Linked DNA regions of Nothobranchius furzeri. The protein of the gene in region 2 interacts with the protein of the main gene of each other region in a biochemical or structural test. Links are inferred from orthologs where the notes say so. Each region holds a gene or a part of one and is shown on either strand. Other genes may lie near its edges. The genes, in order: ube2s, anapc2 and pttg1.

Region 1 (7,887 bases), about 59 Mb from region 2:
GTTGTCACTTGTTTTGAACAACAGCAAAATGCCTTTTTAACCCTTTGGGACCTGATCTCGTTTAGCGATGTTGAACATAAAATCCTTTCAAGTGGATTTATCCTGGTTGAGAGCCAAGAGCAAGGCAGGCTGCGCGGTACACGGTACCATCACAGCAGCAAGAAACACTTCAGACAAACAGACCAGAGAGTTTAAGACGAGGACTTCTGTCCTTTAGGGGACAGGAGTGAAAGCGGTGTCATTTCATCCAATTACGCCGACGGAACACGACGGCAGGATTTTTTAAAGTAGAGCATTTCATTCTCGTGTCTTCGGGTATGGACATAAGTGACGAGCCTGTAGGGCAAAGAGACGAGTTCAAACAAAACAAAACGGTTACAAACTCTGGACTCGAGTGGAAAATAGTCAGAAAAGGGAACAAATTTATATATTTACACTCACACTCTCACACCACTTTCACGTGGAGGTATTAAAGTCGCCTCAGCGCCCGCTTTTTATCCGCTTTCTTTTTTCCTGCTACATTATTTATGCTACTACTATTGCTGCTGGTGGTACTGGCCCCGTTAGCTCCATTACCCAGAGCTGCCGGTACCGCCGCTGCGCTGGGGCCCGCTCTCTTTGTGGGGTCGCCCGCTCTCTTTGTGGGGTCGCCAGCGTGTTTCTTCGGCTGTGGGCCGTCGTTAGGGTCCTGAGGCGCTCCGGACGCACCCAGAGCGTGGATTTCTGTCAGGAGACGGGCTCGAGACTCGTATTCCGCGTAATCCTCCAAAAGCAAGCGCCCCGCTTCTTCGTTCAGAGCAGATTCGGGGTTCGGATGGATGAGAAGACACTTGATGGTCTATTGGAGGGAAAAGGAAGAGATAGATGGTGTCAGAGAGCATTATGCTCCGAAAAAGGACAAACTGACAATCGAGCTTACAAGTAAGACATGTCTGAGGCCAAGTTCTGCTTTCCAGTCCCTCTTCAGCACGTTGACACAGATCTCTCCCTTGTGACCCACGTTGGGGTGAAAAATCTTGGTCAGGAAATACCCCTTGGGCGGAACAGCAGGGAAGTCCTTCCCGAGGACCAGACGCATTCGGAAAATGCCACCAGCAAACGGAGTTCCCTCTGTCAAAGCATAAAGAATTCATTGCGCGAACAGCGTGGCCCGAGTAAGCCAAGCCCAAACTAAAATTAAAGGGCAGGATCACGGATCTGCAGCTCAGGAGAAAAACAAATATTTTCATGATTTCTGGACAAAAACAGATGTAAACATTTATAATAGAAGTAATTAGATAAGAAGAGTAAATGACTGCATATTTGCAGGAATGAAAACATGGAGACCACTGATTTTAGAGTTCTGAAACATTATTTGTGCTTCGTGGGAGAAAAGAGCCACTTTCCAAACGAGGAGATGAAGCCAAACAGGAGCCAGCTAGTGGTAGAAAGTGGCGGTGTGCTGTCTCCTGCCACTAGGGGGCAGTACATACATTTCAGGGTAGTTTTACACCATATCACTGTCAGTGACGCTAGTTTAAAACATTACGGTAAACGTTGTTCCCTGTGGAGCCGAAAACGAGCGACCTCTGCACGATTTCTCAGACTCATTCAACTCCATAACAGGCATGCAACGTGTAGTTTCCTGGTGCTGTACTAGGGCTGCTCGATTATGGCAAAAATAAAAATCACGATTATTGTGACTGAAATCGAGATCTCGATTATTTAAGGCAATTTTTCAATTTATGTTGATTTTATTTGTTTTGATCAGTCATAAAATTGCTCAGGGCACAATCAGGACAAAAATAAAAAAGAAACAAGATGATCACTAAAATAACTCCTGATTCCCAGAATAAAAAGACCAAATAGCTCATAGTTTATGACCCAAGGGCTATAGACCTTGGTTTAACTCATTTAAGTCTAACCAGTACAGACCCAAATACCAATATCCTGCAAATACTGACAGCAAGAATTATACAGCGGCATTTATAACAAATACATGCAAATAAATTGATGTTCACAAAATGTTGCGTAACATTTATTTAGTCGTGTCAAGGTGCTGTAGGAGAGTGCACTAGCACCGTGTCCTCAGAGAGGTTAGTTATTAGTTATCAGTGTGAGGAACTTATTTCTACCTTATTTATAAACTATTTATTTACAAGTCCATCAGTTAATGTAATAATTGTCCCAACCACAGCTGCACCCCCCCACCCCCCAACCCGGTCTCACAGCAATCATGGGCAAGATGCACGTGTGTTTAGCGCGCCGCACGCGCACATTTAGCCATTTTTAGCGGCTCAGGAGCCCGCAGGTGCGGTGTGTGTGTCACTCACTCTAGTTACTCCAACAAGGAGCCGACTCCGAGAGCCGTTTCTTTAGCGACTGACACATCACTACATCATTCCCTTTCCTAATGTCCTGAAGAACGGTCCGGAGCGCAGGCGGAGTGTTTAGCTAACCTGCAGAAATGTCGACGACAGTTATCCAGAAAGTAGCTAAGGGTTACCAGAGATGTTTCTGAGGTGTTCGCTAGGTACTTTTAAGATTTAAAAAGTCAAGAAGGGGGTCTGAAAAGCTGCTAGAAATAGCGTCAAAGTCGATAAGTTGGCAACACGGAGGAGCGCTTCATTTGCAACTCAGGGCAGCGCAAGTGGGAGGAGCAAATAATCGGCTTGTTTTTATAATCGTTCAAAACTCAGATCGTAATTGGGATTAAAATTCGATTAATTGAGCAGCCCTACGCTGTACTTTCTGGATCTTCTCGGTGTCCTGCGCCTGCTGATGACATCACCATACTACGACAATACCGCGCGGTCAAAATATACTGCATCTCTTTTTCGATTCTGTTCTTCCACATATGTTTTGGAAAGAGTTTAGCAGTTTTGTTATTAAATTTGTGTTTCTTACTACCTAAATGCTTGTGAACGTGGTAACGCAACTTCTGTGAGTCAGCCATTCATCTAGTGTGACGTCATCAACAGGCACAGGACGCCGAGCCAGCCAGAAGGAAACAAGGTGTCCCCAATAAACACCAGACCCGCACCCTATGAGAACTACCTTATGGGTTTGTGGTACAAAGCCGCCAATACTTTTCAACGACTGGACATAACTTTATTTATTTTCAATAAAGTTTTGATGGATTTTTTCAGAGATTGACAGTAAAAACTAGGGATGCACCGATATGAATTTTTTGGACCGATATTAATATCACCGTTACGGCCGATAACAGATGTTTGCGATACTGATTTATGCTTCTGAAATCAGCTACTTTTGTATAGACTGAAATTATGCAAGCTGAATTTTTGAATGTTTTGCTTCATTTCTGTTAAGTGGAATTGGCAATATATTATATAAACACACATTTATCTGTTACCTTCACTGTCACAGGACTAAACAATTACACATCATCACCCCCCTTACCCTCGGAAACAGATACACAAACAGAAACAAGATGGAAAAAATATTGTTTGTTAATACCGGCCCAGTTTTACTTGTCGGACTGATATCGCTATGTTAAAAAATGACTAACATTGGCCGATACTGATATTAATGCTGATATATCGTGCATCCCTAGTAAAAACTACACACTGTCTCTTTAACCAACTGAAATGGGAAGTGTGTAAGATAATCAAACTAAACTAACAATAACAGATGTTTAGTTTTTGTTGCATCCTGACTGTTACCTGGTCCTTCAATGGACGTGTGGAGTTCAGTTATGTCTTCTTCACTGGGATAAATCTTGATGCCCTCAGGTGGGTCTGCTGCTAAAGCGGAAACCTCTTTGTAGACCAAACGCAGAACATGAGGGGGCAAATTCTCGACATTAGAGTTCTGAGGAGAGACAGAGCAACGACTTAGCACTAAAGAGTTTCGGTATGAACACTGAATTTCTAAACATGAAACAATATTTTTAAATAAAATATATAAATTTCACCTTTACACTGTTGATGGCCAACGTTAAAATGGCTTTAACTCAATAATGCACGTCATAAATGACTGTTTGCTTTGCTAATTTGAATTTTTTAATAAATAAACACGAAATATCAGAAGTTACACTTAAAATTATGCATAGACAAAAACTAAACAATATTAGTAATATTAATAATTGTATTGTATTTAAAAAGATACACAAAATGAACGTACAGAAGATGTTTAAAGTGAAAATAATGCATTGTGTCAAAGTTTCTACCTATTTGCCAGTCTTTCTGCCAATTTATTATCATTTTTGATCGTTTAAATCAGATAAAACAGTTTTACAACCTCGCTGGGGAACTATTTATCTCACACGGAGATAAAAGAGGAAAGTTTTCTACGCAAAACATTATTTTATTTCCATAATATTCATACAAAAAAAGGCACATTAGTTCGCATCTTGTTGAGTATCTGGAAATGTTACTTCAAATTCAGCAATCAACACGTTTAGGGCAAGCTCAGTATGAACGCGTCTTTTAAAACTACACCTTTAGATAAGTCAAATGTTTGTAATGTCCGCTAACGATCAAATGAACTTAAGTACATTTATGTTACAGCTAGCATTACAAGCCTAGCTTTAAGCAGGTAACCTCAACGCTTCTTGTTATTTTATTCCAATATTAGTTATACTAAAGACGTTGGATAGGTTTTAAAATGAAGGTTCTTTTCTCAACAACTACCGGAATACATATAAAATAGTCAAAACTCAAATAATAAAGAAAATGTTTCGACGACTTAACATCGACTCAAGCTAGGCAACCGTTAGCTGTTAGCATGATGCTAAGTCTTACCATCTTCGAAAAAGAGATCTGTTGAGGTGATAAATGTCCGCCTGGTGTCAGATAAAAAAAAACGTGTTTTCTAATAAAGTTCGAAAAGAAATACAATCTTGGTTGAAAACTTAGTCCAGTCTAACTGTTTTTGTTTTCTTCTTTTCCCAGGAACGAAATTACGTTTCTCAGTTTAAGCTACTGCCATTGACCAATCGGCATTTTAGTGAAATTACGCGTCAGACGATTACAGCCAAACAAGATAGAGTATTTCTGTTACGTCATCAGTAGGAGCACAATCAGCCAAACCGCGCCGAAACAGGACTGATACCAATCAGCTATTGGTCATTTTGAAAAGAAAAAAAAACACGCCCTTGATTAATAATGGATCGGCACCCTTTTATGTCAGCACACGCTGGCGGTGCTCCGGGAAGGTGGAGTTAAAAGGTTCCCTGTTAGTTCAGAACGCAACAAATACATTTACTAAAGGATTTGTGGATTTCACGAATTTTTTAATGATCAGAATACGTTTGATTATTAAAACACGAACTGTTTTTTTAAGTTAGACATTACATTCGGGGCAGATAACTATACATTTACTATTCTTTATTCACATAAGTACTAACATATTCATTGTCATATCCAATATATCAGCTAGATAGATAGATAGATAGATAGATAGATAGATAGATAGATAGATAGATAGATAGATAGATAGATAGATAGATAGATAGATAGATAGATAGATAGATAGATGCTTATCTAGAATAAAATAAGATAAAATGCATAAATGATAAATACAATAAAAGTGTTGTAAAATACATTAAAGAAGTTGTTATACATAAAAGTAACAGAGAGTGATAATTTTTACTTTTGAAAATGTAATGTATTCTATTGATTTCGTGTCATTACACATATGTTGTCGCTGACATTTATATTACTTATGAAGGAGAACGTTTTTGTTTTTGAAAACCAAAGATACTGCCAATCCATAATTTTCAATTGGATAATCTAATAGTTCAAATGTGTTGTTCATCATTCTAATCATGGTTCAGTGCTCTACAATCACTGAAAAACAACAGTCATGTGTTAAATCTAATCAGGAAGAGTTGAAGCTCATTCAATACAAAACACGCCAATGAAAACTGTACTGTGTGCGATTCATAAGAGTGTAGTTATGTGGCGGATTAACACGCAGTTATGTGTAGTTAGGGTGTTTTTTATGAGCCAGGACCACATTTGTAATATTTTATCACCACCTCTAGTAATGCGCCCGTTTCTAATCATGACCACTAGAGGGCGCTGTAGCACAACGTCACCGTTTATTTCAACCCGTTGGAATACGTTAGCACTTCTCGTTTGAAACCCATAAAATAAGATGTTTGCACCGCTAATTTTACGTTATTTTCGGTTCTCATAGGTTAAACGGAATCTAATCTACGCATGTTGTTTACTTATTTAAGACTGGATGCATATGTGAAGTCATCTAATCAACAACACAACACAACAAGGGCGCTACTTCCGGTTTCTGGATGTAGCCACCAGACTCCAGCATCGTTTCGGGGACTTGCTTCATCAGCAGGTCGGTGGCTTTATTTGGCTGTTGTTGATTATTAACAGGTCACCGTGCCGCTCTTTTTCTAACCATCGGCAGCCAAACAGAGAGAAGAATCATTGGGAGGCACAGGGACGAGTGAGTAAGCAGATACTAACTAGCGGCATGGTTGCCTGTAATGATGTTTATTTTGATCGACAACGGTACTTATTCTGTTTTGAAGTATGAACGAAGGAGAAGTGTTTCACGAGAAGCAACGCTTGGAGCTGTGTGCGATTCACGCACTCAACAACGTGCTCCAGGAGCGAGTGTTTACCAAGGAGACCGCCGATGACATCTGTAAACGGTATGGGAATGTTCCAGCGTGTTTGCTGGAGACGCAACAGTCAGCTGCTCCTCTTAGCTCCAGAAACAGAGAAAAGATGGGTTTTCTTGTACTTCAGTCGACTTTTACTGTAAATCTCTCTTTCCACCAATAACTCAAAAGGTAGAACCAAGATTCTGGTTAAAGATCGACCGATGTGGGTTTCTCCAACTGATACCGATATTTAGATGTTTTCGGACTTGTCTCGATGTTAAAATGTCATTTTCAAACAATAGGTGCTCAACATTTCTGAGCTACTCTCTGAACAGAGTTTAACCGACTCATGATTATTAATTTTGTGCATTGCCAAGTATTAACTCATTCAATGCCAGCCGTTTCCTGATCGCTAACGGACTTCGCTGCCAGCGTTTCTCACCGTTTTTTACTGTTTTTTTTAAGAGTCACAGAACATTGCGCGCTAGGATGATGTCGACGCCAAAACAAAGAGGAGACTCACCTCTTACATCGGGAAGAATCCGCGTGTTTCGAGCGTTATCCGTTCTTTCATAATCCGTTGTTGAATTATGATCGGCAGACGCTTTTCCGGTTCGCGCCTCACTTTTTTTTACAGGAACAGGCCTAAACGATCTCCTAACACATAGATTTTCTGCTTCCTGATCACGTGACGTGTGACGTATGCGGATGAAGATCGGCTTCAGGGCTTAAATGTTTGTTCTCTCAGCGCTGGGGCTCGTTCCGATGCTCAAACAGTAAAATAATGCAAATGAAGACTAAAGTCGTCATTTGCAGTAAACGGTTGGATCTAAAATGATGACTTTAGTCGTCATTGGCAGTGAATGAGTTAAACTCAAGCTATTAACCAAAGTTAATCAAACAAATAAACAAATTAAACTACAAAACAGGTAAATAAATTTAAAAATATTGCCGTTTGACGATAATGCTTTAGAGCATTTATAAAGTTGGTGTTTTTCAGGAACGTAAGTATAGATTTAGATGAAATTTGACAGCAGCACGGGGCTGCCCACGGATGTGCCTTGCTTTAAATCTGCGCTACCAGTCTTATCACAGACTGGCTGTCGCTATGAAAACACGTTTTCTGTGAGCTTTTATTAATCCAACTAGTTATTTTAGGGGGTTTGACCTACAGGATGATTAATTTCAGGCAAGAAAATTTGATAAAAACAAAAAAATTGGCCTAAAACTGTTGTAAATGCCATTCAGGCTTCCACGAGCTTGAAGCAGACTTAAACGGATTTGCTGCATCACATAAAAAATCACTGTTGTGA
Region 2 (4,153 bases):
TGTAAAAAATAAACTCTAAATAAACTATGTTCACATCCAGAATCTAACCCGGGTCTTCTGCATGAGAGTCAGACATCTTACAAGGTGAGCTACACTCTAGTAACATTCACAGTATCTATAACTTTTATATCCTTGATGACAGCTGAAACGTTCAAAGAACGGTTCGAAGCGAAAATGGCTATTTTGTTGCTAATTTGCAGGAAATATCTAGAAGAAAGTTCTACAGAAAGTAGCTAAGGGTCCTCAGAAATATAGCTAGGTTTGTTACTAGGCGTTAGGAAGTTGGCACTGCCTCTCTCTCTGCTGCTAAAGCTACGGATAGCAAATGCTACGGGCTATGCCTGAGCGTGAACGCGCATGAAGCAGCCTGCTCGACCCGAGCATCTCTCTTTTTCTGTGATTTTACAGAAAAACAGGCAATCACAGTAAAAATGCCAGGGCTCATTCTACAGGACCAGGGCATTGCAGGAGAATGTATGAAGAAGACATTTATTATTTCTATACATGTTTTGGCTGTCACACTTCCGTACAGTCCCTTTAATTTAAAACAATAAAAATTTAAACATTTTAAATTATCTCTAAATGACCAGATGGTTGCTTGTTGCTCTGATGAAACACAGAAGATCTCTGATAACGTTAAACACAAAGCCTCAGAAAGCAGGTTTAACGTTCTGACCTTATTTATAAACACAAACAAACCATCACTGCATCAGCCACATAATGAAGATAAAACATGACCTCCTCTCCTCAGGTCTCACCTCGGATGATGCTGAAGAGCTCTTCGATCCTCATGTTGACGTAGATCCTGCAGAAGAACTGATGCATGTGGCATCTCCACTGCTTCATGATGGAGCTGGCAGGCTGGGTGCCCTGGATGCTGGACTGAATGGGACCACTGGGAGCAGCAGGAACAGGAGTGGCTCCGTCCACCTCACTGGCGAACACTTTGCTCAGCCAGCCAAGAACCAGCTCCAGCCACTGCAGGGACAGAAGAGCGTCAGAACATGAAGACAGGAGAGGAAACGGTGGAAAAGGGGTTTTACCTCCTGGAAGTCCAGCAAGAAGGAGCGCTCGTACTCGCCCCGGCAATGCTGCTCCATCCGCTGCTCGATGAGCTTGTGGAGGATGCAGGTGATGGCCTCTGAGCTGACCCACTCCAGCAGCTGTAGCTTCAGTCTACAAACACAAACAGCTGATCAAACATTCATCCGGACGAAGCAACAGCAGAAACAATCAGCAGTGAGATCCTCTCACAGTATGTGGCTGAGCTCCTGCAGCTGCTCCAGGGCCTCCTGACACCAGCACCTCAGGACCGGGACCCCACACCCTGGGCAGGACCCTCCACTGGGGCTGTCTGGAGCCTCGGCCACATCCTCATCGCTGCCCTCCAGTTTCATGTAGACGGAGAAAGTCCTGCTGTAAAACTCCAGCACTCGCTCCTGCAGAATGGGGGGAGGAGAGAACAGCAGGAGGGCTCTGATGGTGGTGAAGGCTCGCTCCTGGAGGCCACTGGGACCTGGACCACACAGACCACCACGACCCTCATCCTGCCACGCCCCAAGCTTCTCCAAACCACCTGCATGGAGGGAGATGGGAAACTAATTACCTGTTCCTCTTTGGTTTTATCCACAAAATAATATAGTGAAAGTCTGGAAAGCAAAAAAAATCCAAACAACTTTAGAAGTTGGAATAAAATCTTAAAGATTCAAGGACAAGGTCATCACTACTGTATTTGTTCTACTTGCTCAGAAAAGGTTCCAGGCGGTCCAACAGAGTCCTAAAAGCAGTGAGGAGAACCCATGCTCGATCTTTTTCCTCCAGCTCGTTCTCCGGCTGTTTCAGGCAAGACCAGAACTCTGGAACCACCGAGGACGACAGGCGCATCTGCAAAGTTTCCAGCAGCCAGATCCCGAGCAGTCGGCCCAAACCATGACTGCAGAGCAGAAGCAAGGAGTCAGAGAGGCTCTGGTCAGACACCGGGCATCCAGAAGACACCTAGAGAAGGACCCAAACAGAATGGTGGTATGAAATCCACCACAGAATCATCTCCAACCAGAAAAGGGCTGCTGGATGTCTGGTATTCAGGGGCAGGTGGTTAATGTAGGAATGGATGAGAGATGGAATCAGAACTGAGTAAAAGAGCAAAATCATTTCCAACATAAAATACACATTTTATTATAATATAGGTGTTTAATATAAGCCTTTTTCGACATGTCATTTGTGTTTGTTTTTAACTAAATGGCTGACTCAAACTTATGAATATTGAGTTGTTAGTAGTCAACCCATTTTTCTTTGCATGGAGTAAAGTTGTCAGTAAACACGATGACGTCAACAAATGTAAGCCGAAATCCACCGAATACTCCTGCTGACTATTTATAACGCCAGTTTTGTGTCTAGCCCTTAATAAACCAATGTAAAATCCAAAACATCATTCAATCGTGTGATTTACGAATGGAGTCTTGTGACAGCACTTCATTCAGTGTTTGGTTGCTCGTGTCCGAGGCTCTGACCCACTCACCAAAGCTGCAGTCACGGATTCCCACGCCTCAGCGAGCCCCTGGAGCGCTCCGGGCTCAGACATTTCCACCGAATCCGATTCCATCATCATTTCCTCCATTTTATGACACTTTCTTCACAAATGCCGAACCGGCTCCTGTAGATTCAGCATTTAAACCTCAGCATGTCTTGTCTTACCGCGGCGCTATGTGTAAAAAGCATGCCCCGTGTCTCAACCGTGTTTCAACGAGTTTACTAAATAATAACTTTTCCATTCAAGCAAATAGTAATTTACAATACAGATATGAACATGGTATGGCGGGTTGACTTCTTCTACTTTTTTTTATCACTTACATGCTACAGGGGTGGACACTGCCCCCTGCAGGTACCGTCCGTAAAAAGTATTTGTTGAGTTTGAATCGGTTTTAATGTTTACTCGCCCCCTCTAGCGGTTAGAATAATCACTACAGCCGGCCACAGACACAAGTTGACAGAACTGAACTACAAAATAAAACATTTCAAAATTGCTTATACAAACTCCACCAGGTGTCAGTAAAGGCCAAATGTTATGAAACTGTACTTATTTTTGTATAAAATTTAAATAAAATCTTTCGAAACGGATGTTAATATCAATAAATATTTCGACATATCTTAGAGAGTAATATAGATGCTTAATGTCTGTGAAGGTTCTCAGTCATCCAGGTCATTGTAGTCTAAGGAGCTTTGAAAGAAAAGCGTCTGGACTTCTTTGAGTTGCTTGAAGACAAAGCTCCTTAGACCATAGATGCTTAATGCACACAAATACAGCTATAAATAATAAATAAATAAATAAACATTTTTAAAAACTGGATCATGACATGTCTTTTAAACGCCGTCGTGTCTCTTATTTTGACAGGTTGTGTGAAAACCGTATCCGCCTTAGCAGCAGCTAGCAGCAGAGACATCATCATGGCAACCGAGTACGAGTGAGTTTGTTGATATGGCAAAAATTCCTTCAAAATATTCATGACACGCTTTGAATTTTACCCGCACGCTCCCGCACATTAAGGTTTGCTGTTCTCGGTACAATCGGATGAAATGTCGTAGGTGTTGTAGCTAGCTGAAGGGGAAGCTAACAGGTTACGTCAAAAGGGCCAGGCTAAAAACAGTAAATAAGCCGAAAACCGTTTTTGTTTACAGTGTTCAGTCTGAGATCGAGGTTCTGCAGTCCATCTATCTGGACGAGCTGAAGGTGGACAGAAGGGACGAGGGGTAAATCTGCTCATTTCAGAACATCTTTGTGTTATAAATCACTGGTTGGGTTATATGTGAGCAAATAATGATATGAAGACGTTAAATATTTGCAACAAAGGGATAAGAATGTCTCCCAAATCTATTTGATGGGAAAAAACTCAGCTGATTATGTTATATATATGTATATATATTTTTTAACTCTTACCATGGGTTTAATTTAATGACAGTCAACCAGAATTAAATGCATCTGTATAAAAAATTATTAGCAATCAAAACAAACATAATAGTATCTATTTTTCCAGGAAATGACTGAGTGATGAATTGGAAAGTGCAGCCAGTGTATTCATTAAACTGAGTAGACAATAGTGGTTCTCATTTGGTCCTAAGCAGAAATGTCTAGAAACATATTTTAATTTGGTGGGGC
Region 3 (8,038 bases), on a different chromosome or scaffold from region 2:
GTTGTTTACAGTACACATTATCTTTGATGGCTTGTGATAAATCACACTTCCTACAATTTATTATTTTACATAATCCATCTATTGTTGTAACGTGGAGAGGGAGGAAGAGGATGGGAAGTGGGGTGATCCACAAGCAGCTAACACATTGTGAGGTGATTTTCTTTCCCTTTACCATGACTGTTTGTGTATGCAGGTGTACCACTGTGCATGGAATAAACGAGCAAACCGTAAAACAAAGACTATAAACTGAGAAAAGTGTATTTATTAATACTTTTGTGTGCTGATGTGCACAGAACTAGGTTATATCTTATTCTTCAGCAGAAAAAAGCAACATAGTCCTAAACAACTCAAAGCAGGACAAAAGTCTATTGTTTTCTGGACATTTGACAGGTCCCAGACAGGAAAACACATTAAAGGGAACTTTACAGATTTCACACGGTGACGGTGGCACAGGTTAGGTGCTCGCCCCGTAATTGGAAGGTTGCAGGTTTGAGCCCTGCTCAGTTTGTCACTGCCATTGTGTCATTGGGCAAGACCCTTAACCCCCCTTGCCTGATTGTGGTGGTCGGAGGGGCCGGTGGCGCCAGTGCTCAGCAGCCTCGCTTCTGTCGGAGTGCCCCAGGGCAGCTGTGGCTACATCGTAGCTCATCTCCACCTGGGTGTGAATGGGTGAATGACTGATTGTGTTGTAAAGCGCCTCGTGTGTGTGTGTGTGTGTGTGTGGTGGTGGTGGTGGGGGGGGGGGGGGGGTCCAGGAATCTAAAAGGCCCTATATCAAATACAGGCCATGCACCATTCAGTGTGCAGAAGATCCAAAAAACAAGACTGCCTGAGTTATGATGTGTGTGTGTTTCCTACTTCCTATAAAAACCAGGAGCATCTTCCTCATACTGGTAAACTGAACCTATAAATGAATTTCATTGATCTGTGTTTTACCACATGAAGGTGCTGCGTGGAAATAAAATCACCAAGTTTTGAACTCCATGCTGATGGTCTTTACACTTACCAACGCAGAGGATGTTAAAGCAGAAGCCACGGTTGACAGACTTGTTGACCAACTGGTCAGGCATGCTATCAAAACCAACATGGCCGGCCAGAGGCACAGCCCGAACTCCTTCACCCTGAAAAACAAAAGAAATCAACAACAACTATCAGTTAATTGGTCTCTTTACAATGATAGGTTTTGTCTGGGTGCAATTTCAGAACAAGATTAAGACGCACTTAAAAAAAGCCCCATGATGGAGCCATGTTTTCCACCAGAGATTGTTAAGAGAATAAGCCTGAGTTCAGGTGAAGTCATTCACTTCCTGTTTTCTCAGCAGCAGCTCTCTTCCGTCAGACGGTTCAAAACCACTGTGTACATATATGGAAAGACACTGCTGTTCATGTCTAGATAAGAAAGATCCAAGCAAATGTAATAAAAACTCATTTAATGATGATTAAAAGCTTAAGAGCCAGCTCTGTGACTGGGATTAGATGAATCTTCCGCTATACTTTTAAACACACACATCAAAAATAAAAAAAAGGGTCAACGTGCTGCTGTTAAAAGTGTGTGGGGGTGTTTAGCTGGTAGTAAGCATCCCGATCGCTGTGATTCTCGTTTCTACTGCCTACATTTATATCAAGAGCTACAGGGAAGCAAAGAATTTACGTTGGATGCCAGAAGCAAAAGCTCTCCACCAGCTGAACCTCAGACAACCGGCTATTATGTGGCTTAGCATAACAGTGTTGTTGTCCAATTTGACAAAGACTTTGAGCGAAAAATACTCTGTAAATTTAAAATACCCAAACATTCTGGTGTCACTGAACAGTCGTGGAATATTCTGAAGCTGGGTTTGAACAGCTGAGGACCTGAAGAAATCTGGGACTAATGTAACTGAACAAACAGCCTGTTTAATGTTGAGAATGCAAGCACAACATTCCTGAAATCATCCTCGCTTTTCATGACGCTCACAGCCAAGAAGCACACAGCCGGTTTCATTCATTGAGCCACAATGGGGTATCAAACTGCACTATCTTGCTATTCTAAGAACTCCCTCTGGGTTAAGTGGCTTCCTTTCCCCACTTAAAAAACAAGCTTGGATAACAAGGAGTGTGTAAAATCCCCTTTCCTCTCCAAAACAAGTCTTGAACTCTTGTCTTTGTTTTGCAAGCAATCAAGACAACGCCTGTGTGAAAGTTAACGGGTTCCTAAATAAAACACGGTAACGGAAATGAGCACCGAGGTTGTGCTGAAACGGGGGCTTTCAGAATGAATGGCCTACCGATCGATCTGTGTGGATCCGTCATTTTTAACGATCCAGCACCTACTAAACTCAATTAAACATTTAAAATCACACAATGTGCCATTTCGCCATGCATTTGTTTCAAATAAACACCACATGAAATCTAAGGGCATTTGCAAATGCAATGCTAAAGCTGTTTCACCGGAAAGGTAAATGCACGAGGTGATGCGCCTTGATTTAACATCATCAGACGAAGAGCATTTTAGATGCATAATTTGTTATCTAAAAACACGATTTATTATAAACAGACTCTAAATTAGCAACGCAATGGTGAATTTCGAATGTGAACACGGGTGTTAGCAAGCTAACCGACTCCAAAATAACCCGTTACACAAATAAGTTGAAACGATTCCCAGCATATCGAAGATGTAATAAATGCATACAATGGATTTTAGAGTCAAACAGACTACTTACGGCTTGCCTTGCTATCTCAGTTGACGCCATGGTGAGTGTTAGTAGCCGGAGGACGAACCCACTGTCGCTCTGACTTCAGCAAAGGAAGCTGCGCCGCTACGCTGAAACCTGGCCTGCTTGAAATGTACCATTTTATCAAAGTATGTCGCATTTCTTATAAAGGTAGTAGCTGAACTTCCAATGACAATACATATGTATCTGTTAAAACCGATGACTTCTATTAACAGAAGCGGCTTCTAAATGATGGCAGAAGACATAAAATAACACATAAAGAAAGTCCCCCATCGAATGCTTTAATGGTTTCGTCTGATATGAATGGTAGTGAGCAGATGTGATGTAACTTGATAAAATAAAGAAGCACACAGACACACATAACATCCTGAAACAAATTAGTTTAGTTTATAGTAGTGGCCGACAATTTTGTAAAGCATGTGTAGCCATGAGCGTAAATAAATCAGGTGTTACGACTCACAATTAATCTTCAATGCTAACAACACTTAGTAGGCGACGCCTATTTTAGTCACGTGCGTGATATTGGCCAATAGGAAGGATGCCGTGAATTTAAAATTGGCTCGCGGTCGTTCGTTCGTACACAGTTTCTTAACCTCAACCGAGTGAGCAGCACGGTCAGGTCGAGTCTACTGAGTTAGAGGTTGTGTTTCGTAGAGGTGAGTTATCAAAGAGAGCAGTTCAAGTTAAATTTATAGTTTATTTTCTTTGAATGGGTCAAGATAATATCCATAAACCCGCGAACGATTAAGACGTTATACAGCGCTAGCATATAAGCTAACATTTGATTGTTTTGTTTTTTTAAATATCTGTTTAGCGGTCAAAAAACCGTTGTTAACGTTTGTATGTCAGTGTTCGGGAAAAGTTTAAAAAATAAACACTTGTCAAAAATTTCTGATAGGTTTGATTGGTACTCAGGTGATCTGTTTTCAGTAAATAAAGGTGACTAACTTGAAATAAAATGTATATTTTGGGATTGGATAAGTGTTCTATAAAATAATTGCTAAAGGCTTCAAACTAGATATTTAAAGTAGTTTAAAACAAATAAGCTTGTATTAAATTAATTTAGGATTTGGCTAAATCTGTTTTGCCTTTTTCCCCCACTGCTGAAAGTTTACAAAGCTCACTTTTAGCTTTGCTGTTTTGAAAAACGTTTTTGCATTTTGGTGCAGAATATAACGTTTGCATGTGTTTGTCAGATAAAAATGGCAAACATCCTTGCAGAGCAAGAAAATGCTGGTCTTCATGTGCCTTCGCTGAAGATGCGACAGCGACTTCAGTCTGCTCCAGGTATTCTGAACTGAATATTTTTCCTATGTTAGCAGGTGATGTTGGATGTGAGTTCACATTTTTTTTATTTTTCTACCAGAGAAACTTCTGAATTCAGAGGCAGCTAAATCTGTTAAAACACCTCTGCCATTTGGTCGTAAAGCTTTTGGAGCTGTGAACAAGGTTTTGACCCCAGCAGTCTCTGCACAGGAGAAGACTCTATTGAAGCCACAGGTTGGGTTCTGGACAGTCTTCAGTTCACGCATAAAAAAATATTTTGACAAAGTATTATTTGCATCTTTTTGTATGAAGTTCAAATCACAGCTAAGATGCCATACTAAACTAAAAGTTCAGGGGTCTAATTTATCAAATATTGCGTAGAATCCTTAATAAAACTGTACTTAAGCTCAGCAAAAAAAATGTACTTGTTGCTTATTCTGTGTGAGCACAAAGTGGTACAAGTGATAATGCTGCTGGAATTAATAATTTTATCATTCTCAGCAGCAGCACTGCAGGTGCTCTCCATGTCCAGAATGTGCGTAAGCAAGGTCCTTGGTCAACTTAAAGTTGTGCACATTTTTCCGCTAAGTTCTTTCATAAATCCCAAAGTTTGCGTGGAAAGTTGCTTACGCAGTTTTCCGACCCCGTTTTGTGCGTAAGCAAGCTTGATAAATGAGGCCCCAGATCTTTGCCATCCATTTCTCTTTACCTTGTTGTACCAAGTCAATGTTTTGTTTTGTTTTTGTTTCAATAGGAAAACAAAGTCGAGCCTGCTCCTCAAACCAAAATTGAGGAATATCCAGAAATTGAGAAGTTTATCCCGTATGACCCCTTGGGTAAATTGAGTTTGACTTTTATTCAGTTGCCTAAAACAATACATTTCAGTGAAGTCGATACTTATTTCCCCCTCAATTGCAAACTATTATACACACAGTGTATAATAGTTTGCAAAAGATGGCTGATGTAGAAATATCAAGCTTCTAGGTACGAGTTCCCCGCATTGTTGCCACTAAATAAAAATTCCTGCTCAAAATAATTGCTCAGATTTTTAGTTTACAAACTCAATAGATTTCCACCAGCATCTGACTTAAGCTGGTCATTATTAAAGTTGAGCATCTATACACTGCAAAAGAGGCTCCAACACACGTGATCTAATTTCCTTCCTATAGAAACTTTAGACAAGTTTAATGTTCTATATTGCTTTGTCTTGTGCTCGGAGGACTGTTTTCTGCATGTTTTAAACAAGGTTCTAATGTTTCCCAGAGTTTGAGAGGTACAGCGTCCCTGAGGACTTGATCCCTCTTAGCTGCTTGGCACTTCCTGGTTTGGCCTGTTTTCCCACAACTCTTTCTAAGCTGTGTGAGGAGGATTTGACAGAGATGGCTCCACTTCCAGACTTGTCACCCATAAAGATGCCAAAATATTCAGGTATGCACTTAATATTTACTCTTAACTGTTTGCATTTATGCTTCATAGTTACTAAGTTGATTTCTAACTCAACTTTCTAAAAGGCAGACCACTGATGATGGCTTAGCCCACCTGATAGAAACTCTTGACTTTAAATGTCTGAATATGACTCTTTAATTCCTGAACTGTTCATCTTCCCTCGTGGCATAATGATGGATAATCTGGCAATTTTGTGAAACTCTTTCAAACAATGATTGTCGAGCTAAGCATTAACAGACAACATACTCTAATGGTAACTGTCTTCCTTGAGGGCCAGTATCCAGCATGTTTTAGTTGTTTCCCTGTTCCAACACATGATTTTAATCAGCAGGAGCTTGGTGAGCTGCTGAACAAGTGAATCAACAAAAACATGAGTGGTAGTACTCTGGGACCAGGCTTGCCTACGCCTGCTCTCATTCAACACACTTCAATCACCTGTCATCAAGCTCTGCAGAAGCCTGTTAATCACCTGCTGATTAAAATCAGGCACATTGAAGCAGGGAAACTAGTAAAACGTACCGGCCCACGGGGAAGGGAGTTTGGATCACTGATATGCATCCCAGTGTTTCCCTTACATAGGCGTAGCCGTGGCGGCCCACCATGGCTAAAATCCCACTGCCACGCCTACAAGGTCCCAAGTTTTATTTCTTTATTTATTTTTTGCGCCGTTTCCCGAAGAAGCAGCAGGAACTACTGTGTTGTTGCTTGTGATCACAGCTGGCAGGCAGCAAGGAGGAGGCAGGGTGGTTACAGCTAGGGATGAGTGTACGGATAAAGCATTTTTGACTAATACGAGTGTAAAACTCGTAAATATCTGTAATCGTGCTGAAGGAAAATCCTCATTGGGTAACTGTCTTTACGCTCTGTGGTTGGCCAGACACATAGAGCGCCCGCCCCTCCCTACACACAACTCTGCAGCTGAGACGGGAGCTCAGTCCGCTCGGCCCAGGCATCCACGCACACACAGACCGTAACGGATCTGTGCTTGCTTCACTGTTGTTCACGTTTCTTCGGTACTCCTTAGGTTTTCTTCAGCTCGCCTCTTTCAGTTCAATATTTAAATTTACTTTTTTCGTAACTTACATGGTGCATTTGACAAGACGGAGCGAAAAACTGCTCGTGCATGCGTTGGTCACTGCCTCTGCTCCGGTCAGGTTTTTTAAATTTATATTTACACTCTTCTCCCTCTCTCACACACCTTGATCAACATTGTTTTGTTTAACTGTGTATAGGGAAAAATGCCAACAATGTTGGGAAACAAATCAGTTTAATCAAATTAAAATTTAAAAAAGTTGTGTCTGGTTCTAGTATTTCATATATCCTAGTTCCTACTGCATGAGTTCAGATGTATTAATTCATGCACTTGAATAATATTCTGATTTTACTGAAACTGGTTCTGTAATAGTTCCTTTACTATTGTGATCAAAAATATTTAATCTCAATTCTGAGGCTGCTCTGTAAATAGTTTTAAAATAAACACACATAGCAACTTCTGATCAATCCATATCAATTTCAGACTTAAAATAATGTATTGATGTAAACCACACACACTAATTTCCAAATAAGATGCATTAATCTGTATCTCCTTTGATCTGCATTAGTGATATTTTTAGCACCAGAACAGTGAAGCAAAGAAACAGATTCCTGAGTTTGTTAGTAATTTTATTTATTAGGTGCATCTGACCTGTTCTATTCTCTGAAATGAGATAAAATCAGTGCTTCTATGGGTTGTCTCCTCTCTGCACTAGAAACATGTACTTTATTTTAATGTTCACTGTAATGCATCTTGATCTTAACAAATGAATAACATCAAAGATATTGGTCAAGGCCAAATATGTAAATTTGTTTCGGTCATTGAAAGCACATGAAACTATGAATTCACCACAGATTATTGGCCAGCTGAGATGGATCATCTGAGTCATAAAAGCAGAACCTTTGAACAGGGTAATCTGTGGCTGTGAGGTAAATGTTGGGTGTAGCTTTGTGATTTAAGACTTATTTAAATCAGTGTGTAGCACTCTGTAATGATAGATGTGTGCAGTAGCTAATTGAAGCCTGAGTCTGGAGCACATCATTAACCATACTGTCTTCATTTTCAGATGAGCGTTTGGAGCTGGAGGATTTCCTACAAACACTTGATGAGCTGACAGAGCTTCCTCCAGAGCCTGTTGACTTTTAGTGTGTTTTGTTTTTTTTGGTGTGTTTGTCATTTTATTCAAATAAAGTTGTTTTACCTACTGTTCCTAATCTGCCATGCATCACTTAATGATTAGCAAACTGGGTATCGCGACTTCCTGCTTTAAAGTCCATCAGAGGTCACATGAGGATTATCATGGCCCTTTGTGCGAACAGAATGAACCTTGTCTCAGTTCCTCTTAAAAGTTGAATCTGCTTTACAAACAAAACTGAAAGCGTTCAGTTTAGCAAACCTGATTTAGGTCTTGATTGGTGTAATCAGACCTGACCTGAGCTTTGGGCACAGCAGGTGAGTTAACGTGGCGGCTGGTTGGAGGAAACGGTGGTTTCAGGTTAGTCTTTATGGGTTTAAAATGTTCCTAAACGTGTGGAATTGTGTCTTTAACACAGGAAATGAGAACAGTAGAACAGACGGGTCT

Evidence for each region.
Region 1: the proteins of anapc2 (region 2) and ube2s form a complex in vitro, tested with the Homo sapiens proteins (3 studies listed by BioGRID and IntAct). The link is inferred for Nothobranchius furzeri from reciprocal best matches to the Homo sapiens genes ANAPC2 and UBE2S.
Region 3: the proteins of anapc2 (region 2) and pttg1 form a complex in vitro, tested with the Homo sapiens proteins (2 studies listed by BioGRID, with this or other methods). The link is inferred for Nothobranchius furzeri from reciprocal best matches to the Homo sapiens genes ANAPC2 and PTTG1.

The regions. Positions count from the first base shown.
Region 1 is NC_091745.1:76,823,441-76,831,327, reverse strand, and holds ube2s (ubiquitin-conjugating enzyme E2 S), read right to left. Parts: upstream 4,921-7,887; 5' UTR 4,746-4,920; coding exon 4,743-4,745; intron 3,811-4,742; coding exon 3,663-3,810; intron 1,111-3,662; coding exon 920-1,110; intron 839-919; coding exon 470-838; 3' UTR 246-469; downstream 1-245. Other genes in the region: josd2 (josephin-2), read left to right, coding at 6,165-6,303, 6,376-6,418, 6,500-6,622. UniProt on the Homo sapiens protein: Accepts ubiquitin from the E1 complex and catalyzes its covalent attachment to other proteins. Catalyzes 'Lys-11'-linked polyubiquitination.
Region 2 is NC_091745.1:17,481,292-17,485,444, reverse strand, and holds the start of anapc2 (anaphase-promoting complex subunit 2), read right to left. Parts: upstream 2,801-4,153; 5' UTR 2,618-2,800; coding exon 2,519-2,617; intron 1,996-2,518; coding exon 1,746-1,995; intron 1,577-1,745; coding exon 1,255-1,576; intron 1,177-1,254; coding exon 1,044-1,176; intron 979-1,043; coding exon 759-978; intron 1-758. Other genes in the region: E3 ubiquitin-protein ligase RNF25, read left to right, coding at 3,349-3,461, 3,676-3,747. UniProt on the Homo sapiens protein: Together with the RING-H2 protein ANAPC11, constitutes the catalytic component of the anaphase promoting complex/cyclosome (APC/C), a cell cycle-regulated E3 ubiquitin ligase that controls progression through mitosis and the G1 phase of the cell cycle.
Region 3 is NC_091741.1:85,724,048-85,732,085, reverse strand, and holds pttg1 (securin), read left to right. Parts: upstream 1-3,268; 5' UTR 3,269-3,367; intron 3,368-3,907; 5' UTR 3,908-3,913; coding exon 3,914-3,998; intron 3,999-4,077; coding exon 4,078-4,211; intron 4,212-4,731; coding exon 4,732-4,813; intron 4,814-5,240; coding exon 5,241-5,405; intron 5,406-7,522; coding exon 7,523-7,602; 3' UTR 7,603-7,665; downstream 7,666-8,038. Other genes in the region: septin6 (septin-6), read right to left, coding at 1,007-1,121, 2,700-2,729. UniProt on the Homo sapiens protein: Regulatory protein, which plays a central role in chromosome stability, in the p53/TP53 pathway, and DNA repair. Probably acts by blocking the action of key proteins.